Coturnix japonica: one gene and its partners. The protein of the gene in region 1 purifies or fractionates together with the protein of each later gene. This does not show direct contact. Links are inferred from orthologs where the notes say so. Each region holds a gene or a part of one and is shown in the gene's direction. Other genes may lie near its edges. The genes, in order: IFT140, IFT122 and WDR19.

Region 1 (4,372 bases):
AGCTCGGGTTGGAGGCCGGATCGCCCCGCGACCCCCGCGGCCTCCAGCGGCCCTAACGACGCTGCCGGCGGCGGCAGCGCTTCCCGGCGGGAGCGGCGCCCTGTCGGCCCCGTGTCCCCCGCAGCCCCGGCCGGAGCCGCAGCCCCGCACCGCCGGGCCGGGCCGGGCCGGGCCGGGCCGCCCCTATGGCCGCGCTGTGTCCGGGCCGGGCCGTTCCCGGTGCCGCGCTGTGTCCGCCCGGCTCCGCTTCCTCGTCAGTCGCTCCGGGCCGTGGGGGCGGGGCGCACAGCGCGGGCTCCGCTGGGCGCGCCACGACACGCCCCTTCCCGCGACCCCAAACAAAGCGTCCCATTGGCTGACGGCACGCGGGAACGAGGCGGGGGGCGGGGACTCGGGCCGGACGCGGACCAATGAGAGCGCGGCGCGGGGCGGGTGACGTCATCTGCACGTACAGGAAGAGGCGGCAGCCGGCGTCCGACAGGGGGCGGGACGATCGTCGAGATCTGGCTGTTGATTGGCTAGAAGGGAACCAATGGAGAGCTCTATCATTGGAGCTCTTGGGCACGCTCTCGAATGCCATTGGCTGGCGGGGTTGTATTGCTGCCCGATGCCGGGCTGTTCCTGTAATTAACGGCCTTAATGAGCTCGTTCATTAGCGCTGCAATGAAGGACATGAGCTGACTGACAGCCCTGCGGCCCTTTGCGAAGGTCGGTCGCTTCCAGGACTCCCAGTATCCCGGGCTGCTGGTTGGACCTGCTGATCTTACGGGGCTTTTATTTGATCGCCCCCACCATTCCCAGCTGTAGCGCAGAAATGTGCATTAAACAGTGCGGCATCAACGTTCTCCATGTTCGTCAATAACTGTATGGAGCCCCATCGCCTCACACAGAGTTCAATAACCTATAACTTATATCAGCGTTATGAGCACAGCCGGCCTTAAAGGACCCTCCAAGTGAGGATCTGCACACAGGGCTGGACAATTGGGGTGTTCCTAACGCAGTGCTTCCCCACCCAGGTCCGAGGATTCACACCAAAGCTGCTGTTCATCTTCTCACCAACAGGGAGCCCTAATGGCACAGCTCTATTCCCAGCAGCCGCGGTCAGGCCATAAGGGGAAGGGATGGAGTGATGGGATGCACCGTGTGACCGCAACCAGCCTCTGTCTGCACGGCTGGGGACGTGCTGGGCAATGTCCCGTTATCCCCGTCCATCCCGGTATCAATACACACTGTACAATGTCCCGTTAACCCTGTACATCCCGGTGTCAATACACGCTGTGCAATGTCCCGTTAACCCTGTACATCCCGGTGTCAATACACACTGTACAATGCCCCGTTAACCCTGTACACGCTGTGCAGCCCCTCACCCCGCTCACACCGGCTCAGCTCGGTTCTCCCCCCCCGCTCCGTCCCGGCCGTTTCCGTCGCTCTTCGGTTTCGCTCCGGGAGTTTCCGCTCTGTGCCCCGCCCCGTTGCCCGGGGTAACGCGGAGCATCGAACCGCGGCCGGGCCTTGTCCCCGCAGCGCCGAGCGGCGGGTGGGAGCGCTCCTCGTTCCGCGTTACGGGACCATCGTCCTATTTGTGTCCCCGTTTTTTCCTCCTTCCCCGTTCAATCCCTCGTGCAAACTCGCAGTCGGTGGCGGCTCCTGCCATGGCCGTGTACGTGGATCACCGAACGGAGGCTCCGGATTCAGTCGCGTCCCCTTGTGTTATATCGTGGCACTCCGTTCAGCCCCTCCTGGCAGTCGCTTCTATCAGCACAGCATCGGGAGGCTGCGTGGACATCTACCTGGAGCAGGTGAGTTTCATAGCTTTGCTGCTTTGAAACTGAGCTTCTGCATTTCATTCATCTGCAGTTCCAAGTGTTCCTGGTGATGCTCAGCTGCTTGTTAGGCTTAGCAATAGGATGGCCACATGCTTTGAGTAAAAGTGAAGGTGTATCTTCATCCTTGTGCTGATCCTGCACCTTGCTGCTGTTTGCAGGGAGAACACGTTCCTGACGCTCACATCGAGAGGAGCTCCCAGGTCACGTCGCTGTCCTGGCAGCCCTGCAGGCTGATCCTGGCGGCTGGGTGGGACAATGGAGAAGTTGTTGTACTTAACAAACACGACAAGGAGCTTCACGCTGCGCCGACAAACCACAGCGCCAGGATCACCGTCCTGAACTGGAGCAGCAGCGGATCCCGCCTGGTGTCTGGGGATGGGGTGAGCAGCTCCAGTGTCAGACCTTGGGTCTGGAATACAACACACACCTCGTGATGGGAAGGGTCATGGATGGATCGCTATGGGATGGAATAGCTGTAGGAGCCGGGGGGGGATTCATTTCCTTGCTTTAGGTACAAATTGAAAAGGTCAGGGAGGAAACAAATGTAATTGTTTTAACTTTTCTACAGTTCTTTCAATTTGCCTTTTTTTTTAGCACGGCATCTTGTTTCTATGGAGAATGGATCAGCGAGGTCGAGTGCAAGGCCCTCCCTTGCTGAAACATGAGTATGGACAATGTGTGTCACACTGCATCTTCCGACCACCCCCTCCTGGAGAGTAAGTGCTGCGTCCTGCCCGAGTGCAGGCGGATCAGCTCTCACTTGTGCCACAGAAAGAAAAACCTTTTCACAGACCATTTCTATTTCACATCTTTCTTAATGATCTCGATGAGGACATCCTGGCCTGTATCAGTGAGCAGGACCAGGGAAGTCATCCTGCCCTGTACTCAGCATTGATGAGGCCTCACCTCGAGTGCTGTGTTCAGTCTGGGGCATTTCTTTGTTTCACGTATCTCTTTAAAGGGGGGAAAAAAGGGTGAAGCAATACAAGTGAAAACTGGTACTAAATGAGCTTTATATCTTTTGGGGGTTAGTTGGTTTCCAACCAGCGTATGAAACATCTTTCTTCTCTCTTTACAATACTATGAAGTATTCATTCCTTTCTTTAGGACGGAATGCACTCAGTTATGTAGGGAGTTGGAAATGAAGTATCTCTTGTTTGCAGAGACTTCCTACAGCTGGCAAAAGCTGCTGTGAGCGGTGATGAGAAAGCCTTGGATATGTTTAACTGGAGAAAAGCTGGAACAGAAGCACCTCTGAAAATGGGACTCCAGGAAGGACTGTCCTTCTTTATCACCTTGACTGACGGTGAGAGCAAAACCACTTTTCTCAGCTGCTGTAAACTCGCCTATTAGTGGTTCAAAACAGTCTAATGACAGCATTTCTGCTACATTCCACCCCTTCATAGTGTGAACCAATGACTGAGCAGGTTAAAGGTAAGCCCTTTCCATTATGGTGATCCAGTACACCACAACACTTTGTACAGTTTGCCCGTAATGGCGTAGATGGACAAAATATGATACGGCTGATAATTGGGTTGTGGCTGAAATTCATGTTCCTTTGTGGGCCAGTACTCAATGGTTCTTCTGGAGGCACATGGTTGCTTGGACCAGGGAAGGTTCGACTCACATTTCATCAGTTCCATAATAATCTCTAAACTAATAATCTCCCCCAAGGTAGAAGTAGGCCACAGGTCTTTGGTACTATTTGCGCCTTCCAAAGCCATTCTATTTTATGGGTACTTCCTGTCAGTAGCAGCTTTGAAAGGGAGCATCTGTTGGTAGACATCCCCATCTAGAGACGGACTGGGAGTCCTGCAAGTGGGGGCACTGAGGATTTTAAAAGCCATCGTTTGCCCTTTGCATACCTGCACATGTATGCAGAAAGTGTACTTTTAATTGAGAAATATTTGTGGTGTTTACAACACCACAGAAACAACTTGAGTTGTTTGCATTTGGATTTTCCAGATGAGTGACAGCAAAAGCTGCTGTAATTGTCCACAGCCAGAGACAAACTGTGAGGCAGCAGTTGTGGCCCTTTTTCTTTTAGCACTCGAGGACTATTTCATTGAAGGAACAAGGAGCATATTTGATTTCTGTGGCTACAAGAGCTGTTAACTAAGAGCTGTGTGACTTGTTTATGTGTACTACAGGTTCTGTGCACTACGTGAATGAGAAAGGAAAGACAAACCACGTATTGTCAGCCGACAACCGTGTACAGAAGCTTCTGTTCATGGAGAAAAAAGATGCGTTAGTTGTGATAACAGAGAACCTGCTGCTGTCCTTGCATACAATTACTCTCGAGGGAGATGCCAAGGAGCTCATGAAGGTGTGCATCGAACAACAAAGTAGAGTTGCAATATTTAATCTCTTTTATTTCCTTCATTCAGAAATGAATCAGCTTTTTTTCTCCTTTAATGCCTCAGTGATCAAATGTGCACATTTAAAGGTGAAATAGAAGTGTGCTACTGAACTTGGGAAGATGGTTTTCGTCTTGCTCTTGTGTTTTGTTCATTGAGACCCTCCTTAATTTGTCTTATTGAATTAAA
Region 2 (3,649 bases), on another chromosome or scaffold:
ATTCCACAAAACTGGGTGAGCAGGAGATCTCTGTGTGGGTCTGGGAGAATGTGGTTTTAATGGAGTTGATTTAAATCAGGAGGCAATTGTTATCTTTATTGCACTTTATTTCATTCCTTTATTGTGTTTATGCCAAGTGAGAAGTCAGAATCTAACTTTACACTGGCTTCTGAAGTTCACTGAAAGAGAAGCTGTTAATGAGTGCTACAAGGATATAATAAATAATATAATCTTCTAAAACATTCAACATTACTGACTAGAACTAATTTGAACTTACTGTAGTTTTAAATGCAGGTGCAATCTGCAGTGTTTAGAGATTGCAATTGCTTGAAAACAGATCTAATGATTGTTGTGCTTTTGCTCTTTCCTATATTAAAGAACAACAAAAACACCGGAGGTGTACAAGACATAGCAGCTCAAGAGCCCCCAAGACAGTGCAAAAGCCACAAAACACCTACAGCTGCATCTCATGTTCCATTAGTGTTGCTGCTTTCAAGTAGAAAATACCAGTGTATAATCCCTTCATACTGCCCTGGATAGATGATTTGATATTGTCTGAATAGACTGCTCTTAATTTAAAAACATTAATTTCAGCTAATTGATATAATTGCCCTGTAAAATCCTCTTTGTTTTGTCTTTGTAGCATTCCACAAGGCTGGCAGGCAGAGAGAAGCTGTGAGAGTGCTGGAGCAGCTAACACACAATGCTGTGGTTGAAAGCCGATTTAACGACGCAGCCTATTATTATTGGATGCTTTCCATGCAGTGTTTAGATATAGCCCAAGGTAAGTAACTGAAAGGCTTATATTTTTACCTTCTTGTGCATGTAGGCAGACAATTGCTAAACTGTGATAGCATTGCTGCAGCTCCTTCACTATTTTTTTTCTTTTATACTGTGCATAGTTTTGGCATACGCTATTTTTGTCTACTGGTTTTCCCATGCTCTTATGTAAAACAGATGAGCAAAACAACAACAGCAGTGTGCGTAGGCCTTGTTTTGAAATCTGGCTGGAATCAAAATAGTGCATCCTTGGGAGCCTGTGTCCTTGTGTAGCTTCCCTCAACACGCTGCAGGTAGAGCAGTGACTGAGGGGTCCACGTACTGGTATCTGCAAGGTGGTTCTGGAGCATAAGATCTGCTTAGTACTTGAATGTAGGTAGGGGAGGTACTTTACAAATTGTTTCTGCCAACAAATACAAAACTGTGAGCTATCATCTTGTCTTCTGAGTGTATTTCTCTGGAAGAGAGGTAGAGCTAGTGCTTAGGAGAACTAATTTGCCAATGAATACCAGGGTTGATAGTACTGTGTTTTGCTCAGTGCTTTAAGTGCCTTTTTATTAGTTCACCTGAGAGTGCTGATATGTTGCCTCTGAGGTATTGTGTGGAGATGCAAACTGTTCCAGTTTTTTTAGTAGTGTGTTTAATATCCATGAAATGTTTCAAAACTCATTTTATTTGTAAATTCTGAAGGTATGAATGAGCTTTACAGAGATGCACAGCTGCTCTTTTCTCCCTTTACCTAACCTGTAGCCTCTAGCTATATTAAAGCCATTACCACTCATATTTGAGCATGCTTTTTTTTGAAGTAGAAACTTGCTCCCAGAAGTAGCAAGACTGTATAACCTGTGTTTTGCACAGGTAGATGGGGGACACTTGGGCTGGTGTGTACTTCATTTGGGAGTATCACTGTATGTTGTTTTCTTCACACTGAGTCTCAAAGGTTTACCTGGGGGGGCTTACACTAATGCCTTTCTCTCCGCAGAGAATGAAGAACAGCAGACTGAAATGTTGCAGAAGTTTCATCACTTCCAGCAATTGGCAGAAATCTACCATGTCTATCACTATATTCAAAGATACACTGTAAGATATTTACTTTAGAAGTTGTGTGTGTATTCCTGAATGTTTTTCTTTCAGAAGTCCAGAGATAAAGAAACATTTAATGACTTCACACAATTAAATAGAGTGTAGATTAGTGATACTGTATAGCAACATTTCTCTGCTTTCTGTTGTACTGCAGAAGAACTTCTCTTGTCGTAGTTCTTAAAAAGTGCCGTGCCATTTTAGCAGATGTGTGTTTGTCTCACTGTGTACATAGAGAATATGAGCATGGCTGACTCTCCACCCCCAGTACTTTCTTTGCTGGCTGTGTTGATTGGTTCCAGCACCCCGGATCTCAGGTCCTTTACAGGTTGCAGTGGGTTCTTCCTTTAATTGGGGAAAGCAGGTTTATACAGAAGACACCCTCATTCAGAGATTCCCACAGCATGTTACCTCTTATCAGTGGTGATATATGTAAACTTCTCCAAAAGATGTGCAGTCTTGAGAGGAGAGCTCCTGCTGCTCCCAGCAATTATAGTAATGTTCCTACAACTGTTGGTGAAAATATCTTCTGTGGAACATATGAGAAGCCTCTAATCTATGCCCTTGCCCAAAAGACGACTCTGTGCAACCAAGGTCTCTGCTAGTCAGGCTATGTCAGACCTTTCAGTGGTGGAGGCTGCCCACTGTTCATGCCTTGCTTTTATATAGCCTGGTAAGGATTCTATTTTAGCTGTGTGGATCCCTTTCTGTCTTTTTCTGTGTGTAACAGGCATGAACTTTGGTGTTTAACATGTGAAATCCGCTTGGTGTGTTCTGTCAGCATCTGCTCTTTTAGCAACTGCATGAACTGCATGACAATACTTGGGATGCCTGGTATTGTGATGTGTAGTGATGTGAATTGTCTTAGAAATGTCTCTATTTTTAATTCCACAGGAGGAACCTTTCAGTTTCCACTTGCCTGAAACACTCTTCAATATTTCCAGGTTTCTGCTTCACAGCTTAACAAAGGAGACTCCCTTGGGGATCTCAAAAGTGTATCCTTCCAACACTGCACAGAATCTAGAGGCTGAGGTACACTAAAAGAGTAATTGATGTTGAGCCACAGTGCAGAGATCTACTTTGGGTTATGTTCAGTTTCAGCTGTGGGTTGTAGCTAATTGAATTCGATTTATGCCCCTAGGGAAATAATCAGCACCTTCAAACCATTGTTTTTAACTGCACTGTCTTCTTTTTTTTTTTCCTTATCGTCTTGGAGAGCTGAACAAATCAACATGTAATTCTCAGCCACCCACCCAGCATGATGTGTGACTTTGTCAAGGAGTATTAGTCATCCCAACAGGATGCTGGATCTGAATCTTGACAACCTTGAGCTCAGATGGGAGCAGGGGGAAAAAACAGCCACTTTTGCTCCATCTGAGGCTGTTATAGCTGTGCAGTGTCTCTCAACCTACCATTTGCACAACTTTGTGAGTGCATGTTGCATCTTTTGGAAGTAGAATCATAGAATCCTTAGAGTTGGAAAGGATTTCTGAAGGCCATCTAGTTCAACCCCCCCTGCAGTGAATGAGGAAATCCACAGCTAGATCAGGTTACCTCATACAAGGCCTGTGCGAACGCTGCAGAAATGCATCTGTCCATAAAAGACAACAGAAAGGGTCACTGACTGACAAAGGGAAGGCAGTTTTTCTTCCGTTACGGCTCTGGATGGGATGTTTGCTTTCCTATTAGTAACTTCCTCACTTACATATACTTCCAAAATGTCTTTCCTAACGTGTGTTGTTAGGGTTGTGATTGGTAGCGTTCAGAACAGCAGTTACTGTTACATGCT
Region 3 (3,649 bases), on another chromosome or scaffold:
CTTACAATTTCCAATTCTCTTTCAGGGGCGATTATATTAATGCTCTGGCACATTATGAGAAGGGAATCACTGGGGACAGTAAGGTATTTCATTTCTGATATTGATAGCGTGCATAGTATCATACACTGCGCTTTTAAGTGTTTTGTTTCAGACTGATTTGAATTCAGTTTTTTTATTTCAACACTAAATCTACACTACATTATTTTTAATAACCAGAATGATGCTTTCTCTACTCGTAAAACATTATTGCCATTGTATTTGAGTAGCGTAACAAGCCTTAGCTTGAGCATTTCCATAGTAGGTATGCAAACAGTGTTGCTAGGATTTCATTGTTAAAGCAAAAATCTTCATTATTCCTTTGCTTATTCTTTGCTGAATTTTTATCTGCGTAAAGACAGACTGGGATTGCATTACAAAGTAGGCATCTTATTCAATAGATATTCCCTTTCTCTGGCATTATTTTCCCTAATATTTGCAAAATACTGTGAAACAGCTCAAATAATAATAGGGGAATTTAATAGAGAAAATAGCAGATTCATTTGCCTTCATAAATTGTCAGTGGCCTTACCATCTTTGGGAAAAACAAAACAAAAAAACACCAAAAACATTAAGACAAAAAGAGATTACAAGCATTTTTTTTTTTTTTTTTTTCTACTATTGGCTTAGAAGGAAAGAATGGAGTAGCACTGAGCCATCTGTAATAATATCTTTTCTGTGTGCTTGGCCAGGACAGATCTTGGGAGTAAAATACACAAATAAAAGACAAAAGGGTAAGGAAAAAAAATATAAACAGAGTTTTTCTTAACTACTTAAAAAAATAGCTGAAGCTAAGCAAGAATTTCTGGACAGAAATTGATTGCACCAAGTCAATATAATGTTTTGTTATTTTAAATCAGTGTTTTGTTACCGTGGCTTTTATGAGCTGCAGTTTCTGATACTTACTGTCTCTGCTTTCCATTTTGTTGCTAGTTCCAGGAACACGATGAAGCTTGCCTTGCTGGAGTGGCTCAGATGTCCATTCGAATGGGAGATATCCGTCAGGGCGTAAACCAGGCCATTAAGCATCCCAGTAGGTTACTAAAAAGAGACTGTGGAGCTATTCTGGAGAGTATGAAGGTACTCAAGCAAGTTAATAAATCCTAAGGTTGAATATGTGAATACAGTAAGATACTTATTCGTAATCATAATTTACAACTGATATTACAATGATTGTCAATATTACAGCAATTTTCAGAAGCTGCACAGCTGTATGAGAAGGGACAATATTATGACAAGGCAGCATCAGTTTACATCCGATGTAAAAACTGGTAAGTACAGATTGCAGGGTGTTCTATGTGTTGAAGAAGAGATTGTTTCAGTGTGATGTGGTGCTCTTAGGAAAGGAACAGGTCTGCAAATGTCTCTCTGCTTTTGTGGTTCCTCTTCCCAGGCTCGAACAAGAACAGCATTCACCTCTTAGAAGCTTATGTTGGTTTAAATAGCTGAACAATAATAGCTGTTGGTTTAAATAGATGAATTGGAGACAAAAAGTGGCACTTCTTATGCTCATACATCTCAAATGAAGAAGATTCTGTGTTCTTTAAGCCCATTTGTTCATGAAGCAGTCTCTTACTTCTCATTCTGTTTCCAAATATTAAGCACAACTCTTTAAACATTTTAAAGTGCTTTCAAAGCTTACACATTATGTTAAAAAACATTTTTTTAACGTTCTCTTCAGTATTGATATAAATATGCCTGTTCTACCAGGGAAAATTGGAAACCAGAAGTATTTCTTCACCGTGTCTTGTCTTTCCAGGGCAAAGGTTGGTGAACTTCTTCCTCATGTTTCATCTCCAAAGATTCATCTACAATACGCAAAGGCCAAAGAAGCAGACGGCAGGTGTGTTTGCCTCTTTATCTGTATTTATAAATACATCTTAATAGCTGCCCTTGCAAGGCACTGAATAAAGTGTAATTATTGACTAAAATGACGAAGACCAAATCAGGCCTTTATCATTTCAGCCCATAGTCACAAAATTTTAATCACAAAGTTTACTTTTCTGCTTGTCACTATCTGTAGGGAAATGCACTTCAGAGTAGCTTATAAGATGAGACAACCAAGCCTAAATGCATGGATTGGTGAGAGTAGAAAATATTATTAGTGTTAATTGCATAGTGCAAGAATGAGAAATTTCTTCAACTCATTTACAGAACAGAAAATAGTCTCATTTTAGAAACTCTGCTACTAGTTATCTGTTAGGATTTATTGTTCTCTCACTCCCAACTGATTTAATGTGGAGCTGACAGAACAAATGAACTGCTTCTAAGGTACACGAAAGTGGATGCTTGACAGAGTAAGTTAAACATACTTCTGTGGTTTTCTGTTGTCTCATCAAGAAATGTCCTCCAAAGAGAACATAATGTGGAGAGAAAAGAGGTTAGTAAATATGAAACAAGCTTTTTAATGCAAACTGAAAAGTTGTCACACAAAAACCTCTAAGAAGTAAAATACTTTATGTTTCTTTCATACCATACTGAAAAGAGTTATTTAAAAATTAGAAAAACTGTTGTGGAGCTGTAATTTTTCAGGTACAAGGAAGCCGTGGTAGCTTACGAGAATGCAAAACAGTGGGACAGTGTAATCCGACTGTGTTTGGATCACCTTAATAATCCTGAAAGGGCCGTTAATATTGTGAGAGAAACCCAGTCTCTTGATGGAGCAAAGATGGTGGCCAGGTAATAATAATACATTAAGGAGTTAATCACTTTGAGAGCTGTTAACTGTTTCTTCTGCATTGTTGCTGGAGGATAAAATTGTGCTCAGAACAGTAAATCAATTTTATTTGTTTAAGAAATCCTATAAGCTTGTAGAATATATCATATTGCCTTGAATACATTCTTAATACATCCCGTAACTTACCTCAATCTAACATTGGCTTCTTATTCTACTGAAGTAATGTATCACCCTTCAATCATGATTGCATTGTCTAAGCTAGTGATTTTCTAGGTGCAGCTATGGAGAGCACAGTAGAATTAATTGTTATATACAGTTTTCATATTAACTTCTTTCAGGAAGAATATTCTTGTATATTAGTATTGTATATTAGTATTGTATATTAGTATTGTATATTAGTATTTTTATTGAACTTACAGCTTATGAGATGAGCAGTTAGAGTTTTAAAAGCATGGAAGAGGTCATACCTGGTGGAAGTTGGTGAGGCATGCTAGAGTATCAGACTCTGTTAGTAGTGCTTGGTTAATAACTACATATTTCAGTTTAGTGATTGGAGTTCTTTAAAATTTGGACAACTAAGCAGATACTGCTTTATTTATTTTAACTCTTCAATTGAAAATTACATTAGTGTGAAGTAATGAGATTAGACAATAATCAAAGTTTGCCATGCTGCGTTATTCATAATAAGTTATTTTTAGTAACCTATTTAAAAGATGAAACATGTAGATACAAAATAAATCAGAAATATATCATCCTTGCATGCTACAAAATACAGTATGTTTCTTAATGTTTGGAGCATTCCTTGTGTTACCTAACTAAGGCATTGATCTGTTCATTCCGACTAGATTTTTCCTGCAGCTCGGTGACTATGGTTCTGCCATCCAGTTCCTGGTCATGTCCAAATGCAATAATGAAGCTTTCACATTAGCTCAACAG

The links.
Region 2: the proteins of IFT140 (region 1) and IFT122 purify together in Homo sapiens (affinity purification with mass spectrometry; 4 studies listed by BioGRID and IntAct, counting the BioPlex papers as one, with this or other methods). This does not show direct contact. The link is inferred for Coturnix japonica from reciprocal best matches to the Homo sapiens genes IFT140 and IFT122.
Region 3: the proteins of IFT140 (region 1) and WDR19 purify together in Homo sapiens (co-immunoprecipitation; 3 studies listed by BioGRID and IntAct, with this or other methods). This does not show direct contact. The link is inferred for Coturnix japonica from reciprocal best matches to the Homo sapiens genes IFT140 and WDR19.

The regions. Positions count from the first base shown.
Region 1 is NC_029529.1:11,954,987-11,959,358, forward strand, and holds the start of IFT140 (intraflagellar transport protein 140 homolog), read left to right. Parts: upstream 1-1,458; 5' UTR 1,459-1,652; coding exon 1,653-1,799; intron 1,800-1,984; coding exon 1,985-2,206; intron 2,207-2,420; coding exon 2,421-2,542; intron 2,543-2,989; coding exon 2,990-3,132; intron 3,133-3,976; coding exon 3,977-4,152; intron 4,153-4,372. UniProt on the Homo sapiens protein: Component of the IFT complex A (IFT-A), a complex required for retrograde ciliary transport and entry into cilia of G protein-coupled receptors (GPCRs).
Region 2 is NC_029527.1:16,827,639-16,831,287, forward strand, and holds part of IFT122 (intraflagellar transport protein 122 homolog), read left to right. Parts: intron 1-643; coding exon 644-784; intron 785-1,762; coding exon 1,763-1,860; intron 1,861-2,754; coding exon 2,755-2,855; intron 2,856-3,649. UniProt on the Homo sapiens protein: As a component of the IFT complex A (IFT-A), a complex required for retrograde ciliary transport and entry into cilia of G protein-coupled receptors (GPCRs), it is required in ciliogenesis and ciliary protein trafficking.
Region 3 is NC_029519.1:62,631,027-62,634,675, reverse strand, and holds part of WDR19 (WD repeat-containing protein 19), read left to right. Parts: intron 1-25; coding exon 26-83; intron 84-969; coding exon 970-1,116; intron 1,117-1,224; coding exon 1,225-1,307; intron 1,308-1,795; coding exon 1,796-1,879; intron 1,880-2,568; coding exon 2,569-2,715; intron 2,716-3,558; coding exon 3,559-3,649. UniProt on the Homo sapiens protein: As component of the IFT complex A (IFT-A), a complex required for retrograde ciliary transport and entry into cilia of G protein-coupled receptors (GPCRs), it is involved in cilia function and/or assembly.